Linked DNA regions of Astyanax mexicanus. The protein of the gene in region 1 purifies or fractionates together with the protein of each later gene. This does not show direct contact. Links are inferred from orthologs where the notes say so. Each region holds a gene or a part of one and is shown in the gene's direction. Other genes may lie near its edges.

What was found.
Region 2: the proteins of mob1a (region 1) and pja2 purify together in Homo sapiens (affinity purification with western blotting; 3 studies listed by BioGRID). This does not show direct contact. The link is inferred for Astyanax mexicanus from reciprocal best matches to the Homo sapiens genes MOB1A and PJA2.

What each region holds. Positions count from the first base shown.
Region 1 is NC_064429.1:1,652,768-1,660,176, reverse strand, and holds the start of mob1a (MOB kinase activator 1A), read left to right. Parts: upstream 1-4,392; 5' UTR 4,393-4,608; coding exon 4,609-4,622; intron 4,623-5,963; coding exon 5,964-6,130; intron 6,131-6,353; coding exon 6,354-6,447; intron 6,448-6,767; coding exon 6,768-6,901; intron 6,902-7,409. Other genes in the region: mthfd2 (bifunctional methylenetetrahydrofolate dehydrogenase/cyclohydrolase, mitochondrial), read right to left, coding at 3,369-3,448. UniProt on the Homo sapiens protein: Activator of LATS1/2 in the Hippo signaling pathway which plays a pivotal role in organ size control and tumor suppression by restricting proliferation and promoting apoptosis.
Region 2 is NC_064408.1:18,516,770-18,523,933, forward strand, and holds the start of pja2 (E3 ubiquitin-protein ligase Praja-2), read left to right. Parts: upstream 1-4,164; 5' UTR 4,165-4,333; intron 4,334-5,808; 5' UTR 5,809-5,810; coding exon 5,811-6,000; intron 6,001-6,392; coding exon 6,393-7,164. Other genes in the region: man2a1 (alpha-mannosidase 2), read right to left, coding at 400-534.

The sequences.
Region 1 (7,409 bases):
TGTATGATTCTGTATGACAATAAAAAAATAATAAAAAAAATAATAATAATAAAGGAATATAAGGGGAAAGAAGAGGGGAAAACACATACCCCTAGACTGTGCCCTAAAGAGGAACATCAAAAAACCTCAGCACATGAGCACATACAATACACACAAAATAACAAGTAATGAAGGCGTGGGAAAGTCGCACTGCCTGGCAACAATCAGTTTGCCATGGAGACACCCTTGATCAGCTCCCAGTCAGAGACACATCCAGCAAACTTAGGTAAACAGGGAGAGAGTCAAGTCACAGTGTTCTTTGAAGGAATGTTCCCCATCATCCATAAGGCCGAGTGCTGATAAGGTGGGAGCCGAAAGCAGATTAGACTTTAGATGTTTAGGTGAGTGACCGTTGACCAGTTTAGGGCGCTCACTCGCTATTGTCCACCATGGTCTCAATTTTCTCCACGTTCCTTTGCAAAGCCGTTTGCTTCTCCGAGATGTTTTAAATGTTGCGGTTAAAAGTCACAGTCTGAATGCCAACAGCTCTGCGCACCACATCAATCATTTCGGGCAGCTTTTGGGGGCCTTTGACAGCTGTCCCCACACTTTCAATTTTACGATAGACCAGGGCAATGCCTAATCCAATCAGTAAGAACCCTGTGATCATTGTGCCAAAAAGGTAGACATCTTCGATGTCCTCAATGGAGTCGCCAGGCACACGGTCCGCCACGTCTCCCACGCGTCCCTTGCATAGCAAACTGCAAATCTGGACAAGCAGGTTCCTCCGAACCCAGGCTACTCAATTGCAATTAGAGACCCTTTAATTATATCCATTTCTTTTGGTCTGAAGAGCAGTGTGAAAAGAGTCTTTTAAGGAATATCAGTGCCAGACGAGACAAGAGAAGCCAAGCAGGAGCGATAAGGGGAAGGGAGGAGAAAGAAAATGCGACCGCCTTCAACAAGAACACAAACAGAATTTTTTCTTGTTCTTTGCAAAATATTATAGGTCTCTCTGATATGTATATGCATGCTGCACATGAAACTGATTCTTAGCCTCTCTTGTCTACAATAGCTAGTAAAAGAAAATCCTCAGAAATACGAGTTAATCAGAGATGTTAGGGTGTCTACATCAACCAGCAAGTTCATGGCCTCGCCCACCTCGGCTCAGGGCCGCCCACAGGCGAAGCTAAACCAGGTCTACAGCATTAAGACCTATAGCTAAGGAGGCACTAATAGCTCTGCTCACTTTGTTTACAGCACTAGTTAGTGTTAGCTACCTTGTGTAAGTAACACCTTGGTTTACACTAGGGAAGTACGGTTTGACAAGATGGCTCAAATCAACAGAACACCGGTCAAAGTGTACGATTTATGGCTGTCAGATCTTATCACACTCAGCCAAGTTCTAAGGAAATTGTGGAAACTAAGGTTAAGGTAATTTAATCTAGGTCTCTTTGGAGATCTGCTATAGAGATGGACTAAACATAGAAGAGATGGTAGCATGTTACATGCGAACTTCTTGTAATGGCAGCTCTCAAGCTAAATCCTTCCAGCAATTCCAGTGAAAGGATATCACAGGTTCAGATTGTTAACAGTTTTGAATGAGATTTTGCTTACATAAGAGGCCACATTGAAAAGTAATGAGCCATTTGGCATGATGTAAGAGGCCTCTTCATGTAGCAGCATATAATAGTTCTCTCAGTGGTGGATAATTATTTCATAGTGGACTTTTGTTAACACTTTTTCTAAACAGTACTGCTGCAAAAGTTTTTGTTTTTACAAAAAAAAAAAAAACACTGGACACTTTATGCTAGTTGAGTGCTTCGTTTTTCTGAATCACCAGGGCAATTCACTTGCTTGAGGGAGACACTGCCAAGTGACAAGCTCCCACCAGTCATTAATCTTTCTGTGGCCTTAGAGGAACTTGTGCTGAAACTTGTTTTGTCAATGGATCAGAGTATGTTACTTTTTTTAAGTAATCAAGAGGATTACATAATTACTTTACAACATAACCAGTAATCATTATCAGAACCTATTTTTATGCTACAAAAGAATGCTACCAAAGTAGTAAGTAAGTAAAAAGTAGCCCGTTAATGGGAGCCGGGTTGTTTCTGAACATTACTAATAAGGTCATGTGCATAAACCACGCGCTTGAGCCAGTCAGTCTAAATCAGAGACAGCAGGGTCTGCTGCAGGCCTTTAATAACACGTAACTCACATTTAAATAGCCACACAGCTCATTTTACACAGACACACACAGACACACACACACACAGACACACACACACACACACACCTTCAACTCTACCTAGAAATCATGTATTTGAAGTGAGATGTGAGTGTAAGTTACTGTATGTGCTTCAGATGAGAGAGACATTTATCCAGTAGTATAAAAGTATAACATTAGTAGCATGCATTTATCTGATTTATTAATGTGGGGATAAAGAGTAAAAATAAACTGCAATTTCTCCTAAATCAGCTGTTTTTGTACTGACACGCCTCCAGCTCGGGAAGTCTGAGGTTGTCGAGTTTGTCGTTAGTAAATTGGAGTTTGTGCATTTGCGCACAGCTCGTAAATCCTAGACGCGGCTTGAGGGCAACAGCACAGCGCGGACCTCCTTACTGCAAGCGCCCCGCAGGATTTCATCAGCCACAAGTGCGCGAGCACTACCGGCACACCGCGGGAGGGCGCGCGCCGTGGCTCCTCAGCGCTGTCCGCTCCCGGGTTTAATACATTTATTACCTAATGCCGACAACCCGAACACCAACAGCACCTAACTAACTCTACTAACTCCTGTCTGCAGGTTTATTACTGCTGGAAACAGCTAATTATCACTCACATACACAAACCTAGTGTTCTGTCGAATTCTGCTACCCTGTCAAACCGTGCCACCCTAGAGTATGTTTAACTGTACAAATAAAAAATATTAGAACATGCTGGCAGTAAAAGTGTCGGTATGAAATTTAAATAGCCTAAATCGCTGTATCAGGGTATCAGGATTAAGTAAAGGCGTAGAAGTGTGTAAGCCAAGTCCAGAAAGTAAAATTCCATCCCAGGCTTGTGTACCAACTGCCTGAACGGCTTAGCTTCGGCAGAGCCGCCAAGGCATTTAATACAAAACCCTGCGTCGGATGTTTTATTTTCTGGACCTGGGTTACCCACCTCTAAGAAAAGAACATGAAAACAGAGTTTTGCGCATGAGCAGAACCGCTAAGTAGCACATATCGATGGGGAGCACAACTCGATAGAACACCCCGGCTCAGTCAGCGCGGCTGTAAAGCTAAACTTGGCTTTCTCTGGAACCATATAGAAAAGTGGGGCTCGGACACAGCGCTGCGCTGTATTATCACACACAGTGCTGAGCTAACAGTAACTCTGAGCTACGTACCGTGAAGCGGACAGATGGAGACTGCAGGTCTGATGGTGAGCGTGCTGGCACAGCTTCCGCAGCGCTCTCAGCGTGGCCATGGTGTAGCCTAGGAGACGTCAGTTCTAATATATATACATTAATTAAGATACATATAGAATAAATAAGTATAAATAAACAGACAGACAGAGCGGTGCGGTGAATGACTGAGACCAGCGAGCCGGACACCTTCACCGGTCAGAGCGACCCGGGTACGTCGTTTTAACATATGCTCCTGTACGTCACAAAGAAGGAGGGGTTCCTACACCGGGCAGCTCCGCCTACTGACGTCGACGAGCGTAGTTCCATAGATATCTTATACGTAGATAATAGCATATTAATAAGGTTTATAAATTAATTGTATATATATATATACATATATACACATAAATACACACATTATATATATATATAGATCAGAGGCGATGTGTGTATTTATGTGCATATATATTTTTTAAAATATAAAATGAATGGAGTCACACAAAAATGATGGCAAAAAATACATCTCTCAAGGACTTTAATATTTAATATTTTATGGTAAAGTTGTGTGTGTGTATAAATGTTTATATAAATAAAAAAAATTTTTATAAACCTTATTAATATGCTATGTCTTTGTTTAAAAGCATAATATAAAGTATTTCAGCATGAAAGCGTGTATTTGTAATGTGTAATGTGTCCTGTATCATAACTATATCTCTGCTGTTTGTAAGTCGATACATTGTCTATGTATATGATGTCTATGCGTAGTTCTCTCAGAGTCGGATGAGAGCCTGCCCACCTGCCAACTAATTCCTATATCATACAGCGGGGGTAATATGTAATGTATTCATTGGGGGCAATGTGTGATGTATACAATTGGGGTAATGTGTGATGTATAAAGTGGGGTGCTGTATACAGCGGGAGTAATGTGTGATGTATAAAGTGGGGTGCTGTATACAGTGGGGGTGGTGTGCGATGTATACAGTGGGGGTAGTGCACTGCACTGCATCTCTTCCGCTGCGCAGCTGCTGCGCTGTTTTTAGATACACACACTTCCTGTTTCAGCAGTTTCTCTTCTCGTCAGTCTTTGCGCTTTTCAAACTCCTACAAATACTTTAAATCCACACTTTAATGCCTTAAACAGCGCTTCAGTGAAGAGCTTACCCCTGAACCACACACCGTATTTTATCGGAGTAATTCCTCAGCCAGCGACGGGACTGAAAGTTGAAGAAAGTTAACGGAAATGAGTTTCTTATTGTAAGTACTGTAGCGCTCCGCCTGGGTTTAGCGCTGGTCCCTCTGTGAGTTCGTCTGCTGGGGATATGCTGCTCACTTTAGCTAACACGGCTTTAAGTAGTTTTGTGTTTTATTTAAAGAACTGATGAGTGTTTCATATTCGTCAGCTAATAGTTAACTATCTAATAGCAAGAATAGCGAGGAGGGGGCTAGTTCGGTTAGCTAGGCTAGCTTTAGCTGGCTAGTATGTATGAATTAAAATATGTAGGTTAGGTTTGTCTATTTAGCTAGCTTTAGCTCACAAAGCTGAACCTATAAACAGTTCCTCTCATAAAGTTCTTTCTTTTTAGCTGAAATAAGTTTTTAAAAAGAAGTTTGGTTAAACAATGGCTGATTCTAAGCCTGTGTTATTGTCTCCTAAAGTGTTAGTGTTGTCCCTTTCCCTGTATTCACTGATCTATATATCGTTCTTCATTAGTGTGTTGAAATGTCTGTATCGAGCACATTATTAGAAAACAAAACATCAGTGTGAATTTTACACAAACAATTTCGATACAATGAGGAAATTAACGATAAGATTTAAGGAATGTGTTCTAGTTAGTATTTGGCTGGTTCCCATATTAATCTTTGCTGGAAAGTAGACTGTTTTTGATAACTGTCTTGTAGTAAGGTTGATTAAGGTGTAAACTAATTTTTTTAGTAGTAAATATTCATTAATGATTTAGTTTAAAGATCTATTAAAATATCTAATATATCTAATAAGTTTAAAACATATTTTTGGACTTGAGCAGTTATGCTTAATATGCCTCTACACTTCAGCATATCTGTCTGTCTGCCTGCTGCTATTGGCTGTTACAGCATTAATAAAAGTGCATTGCTGACAGTTGTCGCCATGTTGTTGCAAGAACTGAGATGTATGAAGAAACAGGAAACAGTCATTATTTAGTCATACCGCATCGTCTCTGTGATGATTGACTAATTACTGGTTGTTGTCGTCTTTATACGTCTAAATTCCTGGCACAGCGGGGTGTTTTAATATTAACACTAGCTGTGCCGGATACAAATACTGTCTTTAATTTCTTATTAACCTATGACATTATTAATGCTGCCAAAGGGGATTTCCTCTAGCTTTGTGCTCCAACGTAGCAGACCTAGTAAAACCACAGTCTCGAACTAGAATATAGATATGGAAGTGTTTTAGCATGAAATATAGAAAGAAATAATGCAGCATTTCTGCGGGAAGATTCCAATGGTTATATGTGTTATGTGACAATGACACAAGAGGATTTGCTTTGGGGGGGATCAGCAACATGTTTAAAACATTAAAAATGTTGAAAAAAAATCTTACTGCTTTCGCTTTAGTGCAAGTCGGTCTTCAAAGACATTCAAACCAAAGAAGAACATTCCAGAGGGCTCTCACCAGTACGAACTCTTGAAGCATGCTGAAGCCACTTTAGGAAGTGGCAACCTTCGAGCTGCTGTTATGCTACCAGAGGGAGAGGATCTTAATGAATGGATAGCCGTAAATAGTAAGTCTATAATAATAAGTCTCTATATCTGCATGAGTGAGAGTTAATCTGTCAGAGACACCTGAAGAACAATTTCTATAAACACATTCAGTTATGTACAATGTGCAATGTATAAATCAGTCTAGCTCTCTGTCTAGAAAGAGATACAGAGGCTGTCATGATATAGCAAAAGGATCCTGCATATTGATGACACTATTGTTTGTTTGTTTTTTACATATAAAAGCTGTGGACTTCTTTAACCAGATCAACATGCTTTATGGCACCATTACTGAATTCTGCACTGAGACCAGCTGCTCTGTTATGTCTGCAGGGCCCAGGTAAAAGAAAATCATTTAAGGGTTCTGTTTTGCTTTGTTGTTTTGGTCCACTAGGTCTGTGTGCATATATAATATGTTCTTTATAATCATATAATCACATAATGTTTATCAACAAGCCCTAAGTAAATAAATATGTTCTCGTCAGTAATTTATGAAAACAGGATTTTTAGTGTCAGGTTCCCAACATGACGTGATGTTACTGGTGTATCTGTATAGGCCTTTGCATCACTGTTAATCATTCTTGATGTGATAAATTAATCAAAACTGGATGTTAAAATGTGTGTCCAAACATCCAACATTCGAGTTTTATGTTTGTACAGGTATGAGTACCACTGGGCTGATGGTACCAACATTAAGAAACCAATCAAATGTTCTGCTCCAAAATACATTGATTATCTGATGACCTGGGTTCAGGATCAGTTGGATGATGAAACAATCTTCCCTTCAAAGATTGGTTTGTATTGTTTTTAATCCAGAAAACATTTGTTAGAATGATGCTTATTCCATATAAGTATATACTAGTGGTGTCAATCACAAAAAAACTTAGTCATAACTTAAATTAATTTGAAGAATGTAAGATTGGAATTATATTTATATTGGAGTTGTCAGTCCCTTAAAATATAATGTATTAATCACAACAGTATTTTTTTTATTAATCATGAGTAAAAAATAAAAGGCTAAAATGCTGATACTTCCCTGTATCGTAAGAGGGAGACAAAAATAAGTGTGGTGTGTAGTGCCTGGCAGAATAGAGTCTTTTTAAATTATTATAATATCTCAGTGTAGTTGTGATGCTTTATAAATTAGTGCTGAGTAAGCTTTAGCATTGAACATAAGGAAGTACAAACACAGAAGCTCAAATGAACCCTAGTGTAGTACTGCAGAAAATGTATGGATTAATCCAGGCAGAATAGAAATCTTGCCATGCACAGCAGCAGCTGTGTTTGACAGCACTACCATAT
Region 2 (7,164 bases), on another chromosome or scaffold:
TTATCCCACGCATGCATTTCTTTATACATAAAATATACATAAAATATAATACATTTTACATATATTTCTGCTCCATATGGTATTTCCAAAGAGGAATTAAATATATCTGCATGCATTCCTTTATGTGAGATACATAATTTTAAATGATATGTTTAAGCAAAATAAATAAGCTAAGCTGAAACTGTACAGCATGCTGTATTTAGTGGTAGGCAGGAAGAAATTGTTTTACAGGTAGTAAAAACAAAGCAGAGGAGGTTCCTGGTTCAGTAATAAGGTATGATATGGGGTTTGTGGTGTTTAACAGTGTGGTACAGTCCACAAAACAGCAGCCCAGCACATACAGCAACATCTGCATATACCTGTAAATACAGAGGAATAAATAAATAAATAAATACTCACGTTCTGAAACCCCTCTAAACTGCTGGGGTCTTTGGTGTGGTCTAACTGCAGATGGTCCAGCATGAGGTACAGGGAGAACACCACCACACAGAATATGGCACTGCCAAACACTGTGAACTGTCCCCTGAACTTCATTTCTCCTCTTCAGATCCTCCTCCTCACGGTGCAGGTTAAGAAACTCTCGGTCACTCAGAAAAAAGGGTAATCCAGCTCCTCCACTCTCATTAACTACACGGTGAAATATATCCCAGTATAAATCTCCTGTAAAGATCTGCTGGGTCTCACTGGAGTTCTGGAGAGCTCAGAGGATCACAGCAGTTCTCTGAACTCGTGAGGAGGAACAACATCAGCAGCAGCAGCAGAAGCAGCAGCAGCAGCCATTCCCCCACCGCGCCGAGCTTCCTCAAACTTTACCGACGCGGAAGAGTTTGTGTGATTCAGCAAAGAGACGCCTGATATCCTGAGAGCACTGACAGCCCTGCCCCCGTCCTGCCCCCCCGTTCTGCCCCCGTCCTGATCTCCTCTCAACACAGCCGCACACCGAGCAGCAGCAGCGGCAGCAGGAGGAGCAGCTTCACCAGGAACCCGAATAAACAGCGCCGCCTGCAGCTCACCAACACACACAGCGGGCGGGACTTCAGACAGCTGATTAGATACTGTACAACAATTACACATACACCCTAAATACACTAAACACACATACACACACTAAAAACACAGATAAATATACAGAAATATATTAAATATACAGAACTAAATATAGAGAAATTTACTTAACAAATACCAAATGTACTACTTATACAGAAATGTACTAATTATACAGCACTAACTACACATACATATACTAAATATACATAAATATACTAAATATATAAAAATATATACATAAATATACCAAATATACAAATATCCTAATAATATAGCAATATCTACACAGAATATATTAAATATACAGAAATATACTAAATATACAGAAATATACTAAATATATAGACAAATATATAAAAATATGCTAAACATACAGATATCCTAACTATAAAGAACTAGACATACAGAAATATACTAAATATATATAGAAAATATACAGAAATATACTAAATATTTCGAGAAATATAATGAATATACAGAAATACAGAAAACTAAGCATATCAAAAAATATACAGAACAAAATATACATAAATATACATAAATGTTCTAAATATATAGACAAAATATTTCGAGAAATATATACAGAAATATACTAAATATAAAGAAAAATATACAGAATACAATAAATATGTAGAGAAATATAATAATTATACAGAAATATATTAAGTATATAGAAAAATATACAGGACAAAATATACAGAAATATTCTAAATATATAGAAAAAAGTTTCAGAACAAAATATACAGAAATATACTAAATATATAGAAAATGATAGAGAAATATATAAAATATACAGAATTAAATATACAGAAATATTCTAAATATTTAGGAAAAATTTACAAAAATATTCTGTACAGAAATATACAAAATATACAGAAATATACTAAATGCATAGAATATACAGAAGTAAATATATAGAATATACAGAGCTAAAATACAGAAATATATCAAATATACAGAACTAAATATACATAATTATACTGTACATGAATATAATAAATACACAGAAATATACTAAATATATAGAACTAAATTTACAGACACACTGTACAGAAATATACAAAATTTACAGAAAAAAAACTAAATATATAAAACAAATATACAGATATTTAATAAATATATAGAAAAAATAAACAAACTTTACAGAACTAAATATACAGAAAAAATCTATTAAATATACAGAACTAAATATAAAGAAACATACTAACGTAATTTAAATATACACAGCAATTTACTGTAAAGAGTTTAAAAAACTAGTATAAGTTCATAGTGGAATTTTTATTTTCACAAGGAGATCTTAAACCATATCCGGACAGGATTAGTTTCTCAGGGGGTCCTGGGGTAATTTTCTCATTTATGGCCGTTTTATGGGCGACCATGTATGTGTTTTTCTCAGATTTCCTCTTAAAATTACAGGCTGAATTACCTACTATTTTTTAATGAACTCCTCCGGTAATTTTAATCCTGTCCGGACTCACATCTCTGAGTTTCTGAGTTTGATAATATTGTTAATGAGAAAGTCGTCATTCTAATTGTCCATATTATACAGTCCGTAAATTATGTCTTCAACAGAAAACATTTTAAGAAAAGGAACTTTGGAAGATAACCAATTAAAAATATCAGACCACAGTATTTTAACATATATGCAGTGAAAAAAATAAATGCTTAGTTGATTCAGTATCATCACAAAAAACACAGTTATTTGTTTTAATACCAAACCGTTGTTGAATAAAGTGACTGGAAAGATAGATTCCATTTAAGGTTTTAAAGTGGATTTATTTGGCTTTTGGAACAATTGGATATTTGAGGTATCTGGTGCGCAGTGTGAAATATTTTTCAGACACGTCCCCCATACCTGTCAAGTCTCCCGTTTTGGCCGGGAAACTACCGTATTTTACTCCTCTTTCCCGCCGTCCTCCCGTATTATGTATTTTCCCGTAAATTTCCCGTATTATACTTAGTAAAAAAATATATAGGCCACAGGCGACAATGCACTGACCGCTGTGTGTCTCTTAACCAATCGTGGTGCCGGTTCAAGGAGAAAGTCCCGCCTTTCAGGAGAAACAGCCAATCAGCTAGCTGGTTTTGCGGAGCGCAGTTTAGTGTGCGGGAAGCCCCGCCCCTCCCCTCGCTGTGAGTTCAGGCAGCTAGTCGAAGCAGCTGTCCTTAAAAATAATCTGGATATACGGAGATTTTTCTAAAAGAAAGGTAATTAACCATGTAAACTGTGATGAGATTGTTTCTGATAGCGGGTTAAAAAGACTCTTCTCTGAATCAAAACATAAATTAAACCCACTGTGTGTTTAATAAAATACAGCTTGTGACTCAGTTAGCTTAACTTTAGAATTAGCTAGATAGATATTCAGGGTTTGAGAAAAATCTACATATATATATATATATATATATATATATATATATATATATATATATATATATATATATATATATATATATATATATATAATGCCCTGCCCTGATGTGCCTGATCAGCCAATAACTATCATTTCCAAACTCTATTAGTTCAGGGCTAGTTTTAGGGTTTGTTAGAATTTGTTTAAATCTCAAGTATTGTGGTGTAATGTATTATTTAGAAGGGGTAGAAGAGATGGTTGAGCTGGAGAGAGAGAAAATGTGGAGAGGGCTGAAATTAACTGAACTGATCAGGAGTGGACTGAACGATAGAAAGAAGTATTAATGAAAGATTATTAATTGTGTAGGCCCCTTAGGACTATTATTTACTTATGGAATATATCTGATCCATGTCCTTTTTGTAAATTTGTGCACCCTTCAATTTCAATTTTAAATCTATTAAATAAAAAAAAATATATATATATATAATATATATATATATATATATATATATATATTTATTTATTTATTATTATTTTTTTTTTCCCTCGTTTGGGCTGTTGGGGCGGCGGAAAAAAATCCCTTATTTTTAAGTCCAAAACTTGACAGGTATGACGTCCCCCTGAGAAACTAATCTCGTCCGGATAGGGCTTATTAGACAGCATGCTAGTGGCCCCCAGAAGTGTGGAGCAAAAAGGGGGCGGGGTGGGCTTTACACAAGGGCAACGTACCCGGATGTAGTGCTGTCTCCAGACAACACAAGGGAAAGTAAACAGGGGGAGTGACCCACCTCGTCTCTCGGCGGAGCCCCCCTGAGCCCAATGAGCCTGCCTGCTGCTGAGAGACAGCATTGGAGCAGGGCTGTCATATGACTCTGAAGTTTGGCTGTGACGTCCGCTCAGTCGCTTTAACAAGAGGGAGACAGAGAGAGAGACTGGTAAAAGCCTTTATTGTTAAATATCTGCGCTGATTGTCGCTGAACAGCACAGCGGGGCTGTGTGACGGGGCTGTAGTGTTTAGATATCACATCGTTTCATGTCATTTGCTGCGGGTTGGGGGGCTTAAAGCTCACAAAGCGAAAGTTTAGCTCTCGATAAGCAGGCTAGTGGCTTCCTAGCCTAGCTTAGTTTAGCTTAGCTTAGCTATGTTAGCTTAGCATAGATAGATTAGCTACCTTCACTTACTTAAAAGTAACAGGGCCCTGGGGATGAAGTTTAGCCTGTTAACATTTCTTGTAACTTGTGATGAGTAAAACTAAAGAGTCAGAAATGTCTCATACTGCCTTAGATAGCTATATTTGTATATATTTTAACTAACCTACTGTTTGTTAATATCACATTTAGCTAGCTAAGCTATGTGATAAATAGTTACCTAAGCTAAAGCTAGGTAAGCTAACTGTGTGCTTCAGTCAGTTAGCTAAGCTACACTGTTGTTGTTGTTAGCACAGTGGCAGCTAATGAATGCCAGCCTTCAGGCTTTGCTTCTTCCTGTGCAAAAAATAGACAGTCACGTTAAATAAAGGCATTTTAAAACACGGAAGAAATAAATACACTGATGTTTCCTATAAACTCCATTGCAGACTTACAGCTGCTATACCTGTGCAGCATATTAGCTAGCTAGTTTAATATCAAGCTTCCACTAATGCGGGCTTTAATAGGTTGTTAGCTTGTTAGTTAGCAAGCTTAACTACATGCTTTGCAAGTTCAGACCTCTGGAAGTTAGCTAACAAGCGAACTAGCAATCATATCTAACATTATACTTTACTGAAATCTTCCTGTGTTCAGGCCTACAGATCTATAGCAAGCCATTAAATCCTAGGGTAACACCAGTGACTCGACACTCTAAACATAGTATCAGCAGTGTTTACTTATAGAAACTCTCATTTCAGAAATCCGCTATCACATTGTACTAGTAATATTGCCTGATCTATACAAATATGATTATACTGGATGTTACCATTGATTTACATAGATTTTTGCTTCCTATATTTCACTTCATAATCACATTTTTATTAGTAAGAACTCCAGTTAAAGAAATCTACAGTTGGCTTTTTACTAGGAAATCAATAATATTGTTGTTACCAATCAAAACTCTTATTGTGGGCATCTAAAATTATATTATAGAGATCTAAAACTGCATACATCCTAAAAATACATATTTGGATTTCATGTGGACCTGGACACACATAGATAGCTGGAATTACAATGTCTACTATTCAGAATGCATTAGCATTTAAGTTCCAGGTTTGAAAATATGTACAGTACATTAAAAATATATATATACATATATAAATAAGAGACCACTTAAAAATGATGTTTTTTTTATTTTAAAAATGTTGATCATCTGATTCAGAAATACAAAGGCCTACACAGTTATCTCGGTTGTGTACACTAAGCTGTTTCTTTCACATAGCAATGGGTCAGGAAGCGGGCAAGCCGTCCTGGCCCAGACCATCTGGGGGTTACCAGACGACCACAGGGAGGAGATACGGCAGGAGGCATGCGTATGTCACCTTTAGGCCCACCCCATACAAGCGCAGAACTCTGTCCAGCATGGATAGCCAGGAGGTGGAGATGAGCAGTGTCCAAGGGGAGCACGCCACTGGTATGAATCAGCACAAAATTACATCACTTGCTGACCTTTGGTTAAAATTAGGGATGCACCAAAATTAACATTTCTGGACAAAACAGAACAAAATGTTTCCACACACATAAAAACATGTTTTTTTTGGCACTGTATACAGATGTTTTTGAAAACACTTAAGGATCCAAATGTTTATTTTATAATTATAATCATTTTTTTAAAGAAATTCTATGTAGTCAATATGTTGTTGTTGCTCTTTTTTACACTTTGTGATTAACTGCTTAATAGAAATGCTTCAAAATTACTTGACATTGACTTCCTCTTTATAGTTAAAGTTTTTTGCTTACCCTGTAAAGTTACCATTTTAGAGAGGTTTTTACCAAATGTATTAAATAAATTCTTTCTCTCTTTAGCTCTGTCTAAAGGAAACATTCCTTCAATGATTCCAGCTGGCTTTCCTGTGTTGTCCTCTAATTTTGCTGACCGGGAGTCAAAGACAAACCAGAATGACTGTAAAAGGCACCCACACTCCTCCCACAAGTTGTTGGAGTGTGAGAAGTGGAGGCATGATCACATAGTGTCGTTTGACACTTGTGCTACAAATGGTGCTAGTGCTTGGGATGTGAAAGATGAGGTGGATGGGAAGCTGGCTAGTGCGAGTGTTTTGAGCTTTGTGAACATTGATTCCTATGAACCGGACAGCAGTGGTGGTGAGGAGGAGGGTCTGAGCTCAGAACAGACTTGTGTCTTTCAGAAAAAGCTAGACATGATTTGTGGCCTTGGGAAAGACTTTGATGACTTTGGTCACTCACATGCGTGCATGGACGGAGATTTCTGCCAATTTTCTGATCGCTCAACCAAAGAGATGCTTTTAAAACCTGAGCAAGGGGATGCGCATTCCACGAGGACTGAGAAAACCAATGGTAAATATGATAATCTGGGAAAAGCCCAGTTAGACACTTGTAATAAATCATCATACAGTGCTGGACCGTGCTCCTGTATAGACCCAGAATGCACCAGCATGCAGGAAACAGTTCAGTCCGAAATGGTGGTCAGGCCGAAGGTCCGCAAGCAGACGAGTCAGAGCCATGCCAGCAAATCAGAGCACTCACAGGGGAAGAAAGAGAGCCGGACATCAGCTGCAAGATCTGTGAAGAGCTCGTGTGCTTCAGTTCCTACTTTTGA